Callithrix jacchus: one gene and its partner. The protein of the gene in region 1 purifies or fractionates together with the protein of each later gene. This does not show direct contact. Links are inferred from orthologs where the notes say so. Each region holds a gene or a part of one and is shown in the gene's direction. Other genes may lie near its edges.

The links.
Region 2: the proteins of RBBP6 (region 1) and SRPK2 purify together in Homo sapiens (affinity purification with mass spectrometry; 4 studies listed by BioGRID and IntAct, with this or other methods). This does not show direct contact. The link is inferred for Callithrix jacchus from reciprocal best matches to the Homo sapiens genes RBBP6 and SRPK2.

The regions. Positions count from the first base shown.
Region 1 is NC_133513.1:25,147,574-25,151,395, forward strand, and holds part of RBBP6 (E3 ubiquitin-protein ligase RBBP6), read left to right. Parts: intron 1-1,275; coding exon 1,276-1,379; intron 1,380-1,495; coding exon 1,496-1,833; intron 1,834-3,185; coding exon 3,186-3,282; intron 3,283-3,381; coding exon 3,382-3,460; intron 3,461-3,556; coding exon 3,557-3,611; intron 3,612-3,822. UniProt on the Homo sapiens protein: E3 ubiquitin-protein ligase which promotes ubiquitination of YBX1, leading to its degradation by the proteasome.
Region 2 is NC_133512.1:75,525,517-75,529,338, reverse strand, and holds part of SRPK2 (SRSF protein kinase 2), read left to right. Parts: intron 1-962; coding exon 963-988; intron 989-2,956; coding exon 2,957-3,203; intron 3,204-3,762; coding exon 3,763-3,822. UniProt on the Homo sapiens protein: Serine/arginine-rich protein-specific kinase which specifically phosphorylates its substrates at serine residues located in regions rich in arginine/serine dipeptides, known as RS domains and is involved in the phosphorylation of SR splicing factors and the regulation of splicing.

The DNA.
Region 1 (3,822 bases):
AAATCCCTTTTTTGGATTGTGAATAGCTTATCCTAATTTTTCTAAGTGTATTAAGACCTGCTTCCTGTAGACATATGTATTACCCAGCATTTGCCATGCAATTGTGACTTTTTAAATCACTTATATTAGCAGTTATTTGTTTCCTGCCACTTATCCCAAGTTTGTACCTTCTTACACAGAAGAAATCAGTGTTATCTGAAAATTTGCTTAAGCCTGCTATGGCTTTTTTCATTCTTAAAGGTAGTTTTGAAATATACAGCCCTCCATACACATGGTTCTGCACCTGCAGATTCAGCCAACCACAGATGAAAAATATTTGGGGGGAAGAAACAGTAAAAAATAATACAATCGTAAAGACGAATACAGATTTTAAAATATAGTATAACAAATATTTGCATAGCACTTATATTGCAGCAGGTATTATAAGCAATCTAGAGATTATTTAAAGTATGCTGGAAGATGTACATAGTAGTTATATACAAATACTATGCCTTTGAGGTAGTTGAGGGACTTGAGCATCTGCAGATTTTGTTATCCTCAGAGGGTCCTGGAATCTCTCCCCTTCAGATACCTGTAAATCTTTGTTTTTTGACCTCTTCGGTGAAAAGGCCAAGGTCAAGAAGAAGTTGGTAAAGACTTGTTTCAGAGTATATCTTAGATTTAACAAACCACTTGATATTCCTGGAGCTTTATTACATTGAAGCATGATCTTCATATCTGTAATTTAGTGTTGCTCTCACTTGCTGTGCTGTAGGTCTCATTTCCTTGCCTGAATGAAAACCCCAAGTTAGCCATGTAAAAGTTTTGTCTTTCTAGACTGACTCATATTTCTATTTTGTTTTCTACAATATTCCATTTACTACCTAAACAAAGAATAGTATTTGAGAAAGTGCTTTTGCTCTCAGTTCAGACATTTATTTAAATGTGTCCTTTTAGGGAAAAAAAAAAAAATAGTGGAGGTCCTTGCTATTTTCCCCAAGTCTGGCCTTGAACTTCGGGACTCAAGTGATTCTCCTGTCTCAGCCTCCCAAGGTGGCATCCTGTCTCAGGCCACCACACCCAGCTATGACTTCTCTTTTTTTAGCATAGCATAGATCATAGAGAAAAGAGCAGAGGAGTACTTATAAGATAAGAGATTTTACTTAAGAAATGAGTAGCACGACGTGCTTGGAAACCAGTAATGTAACAGAACAATTGTAGGCCATCCTTTTAATTCATTCTGTAAACACTGAGTTCCTACCATGTTTTTATTAATATTTGAAATCTTACACATAGGTATAAGAACAGCACTCCTGGAATCAGATGAGCATACATGTCCAACTTGTCATCAAAATGATGTTTCTCCTGATGCTTTAATTGCCAATAAATTTTTACGACAGGTAGCTATCTTTTATATCCATTTTATGAAAAATTTCTTTTTAATCTTTAACTGATTTAACTGTACTTCAGTGAATACTACATAATATTTTTCTGCATTATTATGCTTGGTCCTTAGGCTGTTAATAACTTCAAAAATGAAACTGGTTATACAAAAAGACTACGAAAACAGTTACCTCCTCCACCACCCCCAATACCACCTCCAAGACCACTGATTCAGAGAAACCTACAACCTCTGATGAGATCTCCAATATCAAGACAACAAGATCCTCTCATGATTCCAGTGACATCTTCATCAACTCACCCAACTCCTTCTATATCTTCATTAACTTCTAATCAGTCTTCCTTGGCCCCTCCTGTTTCTGGAAATCCATCTTCTGTTCCAGCTCCTGTACCTGATATAACTGCAACAGTATCCATCTCAGTCCATTCAGAAAAATCAGATGGACCCTTTCGGTAAGCCTATGTATTTTTCACTGTTAGAAACCAAATGAGGTCAATGATGTTAGGTTTTGTTGTTGGGTATCACTTTAATAGCTTTCTTTTTTTTTTTTCTTTTTTTTGAGAGGAAATCTCGTTCTGTCACTCAGGCTGGAATGCAGTGTCACAATCTTCGCTCACTGCAACCTCTGTCTCCCGGCTCAAGTGATTCCTTGCCTCAGCCTCCCAAGTAGCTGGGACTGCAAGGTGTGTGCCACCACACCCAGCTAATTTTTGTATTTTTTGTAGAGATGGGGTTTTACCATGTTGCTCAGGCTGGTCTTTTTTTTCTTTTTTTAACTGCAGCAACTTTAATATAGGTCAGGCTGGTCTTGAACTCCTAACCTTGTGATCCACGCACCTCAGCCTCCCAAAGTGCTGAGATTACAGGCCTGAGCCACCACGCCTGACTTTAATAGCTTTCTTAGTGGACCACTGTGTTCAGTAACATGGGATGACTTGTAAGAAATGACTTAGTCTTATTGCGGGAAGAGGAAAATAAAGGTGATTTCATTTGGCAAATGATGATTAAGCGTGCCAAGGTCAAATACTACACAGGTTGCCAGCAAGCCCCTGTTTAACGTTAAATGTACTGTATACCATAACAACTCTGAACTTCAGAGGTGGGAGAATTCACTTGGGTGATGGTATTGAATAGGAGTAGATTTGAGTAGAACAGTTTGGATAGGTAGAGACAAGGGGGTAAAAACAGGTAAGTAGAGAACTCAGGAAAGTGATTGGGGGCATAAGTAATGTAGGAGAATAGTGAAAACTATTAAAGCCTACCACTTCAGAAATGAGACTTTTGTCCATGTAGCTTAATGGCTTGTAAATTCTTTAAAAAAAATAGGTATCAGAGGCCCATTTCAGACATATGAAGCAAAATCTTTAGGATGAGACCTTTACATACACATTTAAGAAATTCTAATCTAGTGGAATTTGTTTGGTTGATAGTGGGAATAGGCTCAGAGAGTTCTGTGGCTGACCCAAGATTATCCTTTTAGTTTAGTGATAGAACTAGAGCTAAAACACTCCTAATCCTAGGGGGATTTTTGTCTCCATAGGCCACACTTTGATTAAGTTTTACTCTTCTTGCAACTGATTTCTGTCATAACTATCATATCTTCTTAGGGAGGGTCCTTCATTATACTTTTCCACTTACATATAGAGAACTCTTCAAAGTTTCAGTCCTCTCCCACGTTCCTCAAAAGTAGTCATCATCTTTGACTCATCTTACTGCAGGTGATGGATAAACAGCAACAAACTTTTTTACTCTTAATTGTCCATTTCTGATAATTTTTAATGTATTGTAATTTATATTTTTTAAGGGATTCTGATAATAAAATATTGCCAGCTGCTGCTCTTGCATCAGAGCACTCAAAGGGAACCTCCTCAATTGCAATTACCGCTCTTATGGAAGAGAAGGTAAATTTTATTTTTTTATAGTAGGGTTTTGTTTTTACCTCTTCTTTTTTTTTTTTTTTTTTTTTAACCATTTCTGTTTATTTGTGGTTGTTTCTGAAGGGTTACCAGGTGCCTGTTCTTGGAACCCCATCTTTGCTTGGACAGTCATTATTGCACGGACAGTTGATCCCCACAACTGGTGAGTAAGATCACTTTTAGACTTTAAAAAATAATTTTAGCTTGATTTAATAGGTAACTTTATATGTACCTTACTGTTTTGATTTTTTGTTTCTAGGTCCAGTACGAATAAATACTGCTCGTCCAGGTGGTGGTCGACCAGGGTGGGAACAGTGAGTAGATATTTACAATATTTTGTAATTATTGCAGAGTAATTGCCTGCAAACTAGATAACGGAAGCTTCAAACCAGGCAGCGGGTTGCTGCTCTTTATTATAAACTTTCATGTGCCAGATTAACAGAATTCAAGCTTATATGAGTTTTTTTTTTTTAATGAGTAAATCCTTTCTAAAATACAAAATCTTAGAAGTTTTTTTCTACTTTC
Region 2 (3,822 bases), on another chromosome or scaffold:
GCCATTTAAATTTGTAGTTGCTGCTTCATTAATATTGGAACAGTTTTTTCTGTTGCCCACTTCTCTGCAGAGGAGAACATAATAACAGCTTTCCTGGAGCTGACTTTTAGTCATCAGAATATTTTTCTAGCTTCAGTTATGTTACAGTAATTCCTATTGTCCATTTGTCATAGCTACGTCAATCTGAGTTTTATCAGTGGATTTGGAGTTAGTTAGAAAAGGCCTGATGGTGGGGGAAGAAGACCAAGTGACCTGAGTATTGGCATATCTTTATTTCTGGTGGGGGTGCAGTGAAATGTGGACTGTGCTTTTGTGGATCTTCAACATTGTCTGTGCCCTTGTGTTGTCAGGCAAGCATAGATAGTAAAGGGCTGAGACTCTGGAGACTGCCTGGGGCTCTCTTCACATCTCCTCTACTGCAGGTGTTGTTTAGATCATGGACCCAGACTGTCAAACTTATGGCCCTGATAGGGTTTAATCATGTGATTTCTAGAATATTAGCTGCATACCAACTGCAGTATTTGATTTAAATTGTAGAAAGCTTGCAAAATAGATTTCAAATATAAATGTACATCTAATCTAAATTGTTTATTTCATTTTATTTATAACAAATTTGGTTTAATGACTGTGATATGTATGAATTATTTTCCATTTTCTTAAGCTATCTGTTGGTGCTTTGGGATTGACTGTTTTTGAGATGTATTAGTATTTCATTTTAGATAAATAAAAGAAATGGCTCAGTATGAACAACTTTTCTGCTATGCATTTTAAGAGTCCGTTGTTTGTTTCAGTTGCATAAACTTTCTCTAGATCCCAGTGATTACGAAGCTCTGATTAATATGTTTGTGAAGTTGGATAGTCATTAAAAGATAATAATTATGTCATTTTGCAATCCAAATGACCTGCATGAAGGTATGTGTCTGTTTTCTGCTAAATACCAATTTTGTTTCATTTTATTTTAGTGAGTACGGCTCCACAGCAGAAACCTGTAAGTACTTAACGCATATTACTTTTATGCACCATGGCAAAAGAAACTGTTTGAGCAGTTCAAATTATTAAAAAGTGGTAGTATATATTAATTTAAAGGGTAGACACATTTATAAATGCTGTGTATCCTCAAATATTTAAGACTTACTGTCTTGTTAAGTGTTTTTTGGATTTTGTGTGTGTATGTGACTGAGTCTTGCATTACTGCTCAGGCTGGCATGCAGTGTTGCGATCTTGGCTCACTGCAGCCTCCCCCTCCCAGGTTCAAACGATTCTCCTGCCTCAGCCTTCCGAGTAGCTGGGATTACAGGCACCCACCACCATGCTCAGCTAATTTTTGTACTTTTAGTAGAGATGGAGTTTCACCATGTTGGTCAGGCTGGTCTCGAATTCCTGACCTCAAGTGATCTTCCCATCTTGGCTTCTCAAAGTTCTGAGATTACATGCATGAGCCATCACACCTGGCCTGTCTCGTTAAGTTTTAGGGATCTCTGCAGAATTGGAATGGTTAGAGCCTTTCAATGATTGTCTTCTTTATGCATTTTCTGGACTACGGTTGGCCAAGTCTAATGAAATGTGAGGTGGTGGAGTTGAAGCACTTTTATTTCAAAACCACTTTATATTATTTCTGATTGGCTGCTAAGTTACCTTTTCCGAAGCTGTTGTTCTAATTTTTTTCCAGCCAGATGTTAAATAAGAAAGAGATAGTTTGTAGTCCTGTCAAAACACTATGTCAGTACTAGGTACCAGGTGTGGTGGCTGACACCTGTAATTCCAACATTTTGGGAGGCTGAGGCCAGCAGATCTCTTGAGGTCAGGACTTCGAGACCACCCTGGCTAACATGGTGAAACCCTGTCTCTACCAAAAAATGCAAAAACTAGCCGAGTGTGCTGGCGGATGCCTGTAATCTCAGCTACTCAGGAGGGTGAGGCAGGAGAATCTGTTGAGCCCAGGAGGGGGAGGTTGCAATGAGCTGAGATTAGGCCATTGGACTCCATCCTGGGTGACTGAGTGAGACTCTGTCTCAAAAAAAAAAATCAGCCGGGCATGATGGCATGTACCTGTACTCCCAGCTACATGGGAGGCTGAGGCATGAGAAACACTTGAACCCAGGAAATGGAGGTAGCAGTGAGCCAAAGTCACGCCAGTGCACTCCAGCCTATGCAACCGAACAAGACCCCATCTCAAAGAAAAAGAAAACAACAACAAAAAACAAAATAACAAGAAAACACTATGTTTACTGAGACAACCCTTGATTTGGAACGTAAGTTCTGGAACAAGAGGGAGCTGTAATAATTAGGCTTCCTGGCTTGCTGAGGAGCCCAAGTTGTTTCCCATAGTTCTTCCCTGGCTCAAGCCACCTGAGTTTACTGTATGAAGGATTGGAGGCTCTCCTTGCCAGTGCTTTGCAAGTCAGCTGGCCATGATGGGAGGCAAACAAAAGCTGTGGCTTTTTCTTCTTTCACATTGCTGCTTAGGCTTATCTCTTACAGTTCATGTTGTCTTGGCTGGTAAGAGCTTCCAAGACATATGTGAGACCCAAACACAGTGACATACACCTGCTTGGGCACCTGTTTCATTTTTGGTAGTGAGGAGATGGGATGTTGTTATTTTGTATATAGAGGGCAGCAAATAAAACTTCCAAGAGGAGCTTCTCTAAGGCCAAGAGAATTTTGGACTTCAGTTCTCTGAGAGTTTGAATGGTGAAGGCTTACTGGATTTAAGCTGTATCCCTCTGAGGGCAGGACCTGGTAGTAGACCTAGCATGTGATATCAGTCAGCACTGCTTTCCCTTTGATTTTACCATAAGCCTTACCATGAGGTGGATGTCTGGGTTTGGGATTTTAGTAGAATATGGCATGAGAAAGCGGAGTTTTTTGTTAGTTGCCATGCTGCCAGCAGTTATACTATCATGTGTGCTTTAAAAAGAAGAAAACTGACCTGTGGTCTTTTCTTAACATGTTATAGATAGGAAAAATATCTAAAAACAAAAAGAAAAAACTGAAAAAGAAACAGAAGAGGCAGGCTGAGTTATTGGAAAAACGCCTGCAGGAGATAGAAGAATTGGAGCGAGAAGCTGAAAGGAAAATAATAGAAGAAAACATCACTTCAGCTGCACCTTCCAATGAGCAGGATAGTGAATATGGCCCAGAGGTGAAACTAAAAACAACAGGATTAGAGGAGGCAGCCGAGGCAGAGACCACAAAGGACAACGGTTAGTGGGGCCAAGAGCCTGGGCTGCATGGGGTCCTCAGGTTACAATGGGGGCTGATTTGTGCTGCTGCTTCAGATGGCAAGGATGATTCTCTCCAAGTCTCTATTGGGAAATTCGGGAAACATCCTTATAATTCATTTGTGAACTGTATGCCAGAAATACAACATTTCAAAATAGTTTTTAAAAATGTAGAATGTCTGAGAAACACCATGTTTCTATCATGCTAAAGATGGTGCTTTATTTTGTCATTAACTTTTTACCTAACTGTAGTACACCACAAATCTATTTCTGAAGATTGTAGAGGGTGGAAATGGAAGTGCAGCTTTATTTAGAAAGAGTTTTTTTCTCCCAAAGCTAACTTTTTCTTATAAGAGCAGGCCAATTATTAATGAACCAAAAATGAGATTTTGAAAACTTGAAGGTTTTACTCCAAAAGCTGAGAGGTGTTTACTATGAGGTGCATAAGTTAAGCACATTCAAAATGTATTTTATTGATGAGATGTGAGGTTGTATTAAGGAGAGTAACAAGTTCTAATTCTTGACCCATCAACTTCTTAAGGTGAAGCCGAGGACCAGGAAGAGAAAGAAGACACTGAGAAAGAAAACATTGAAAAAGATG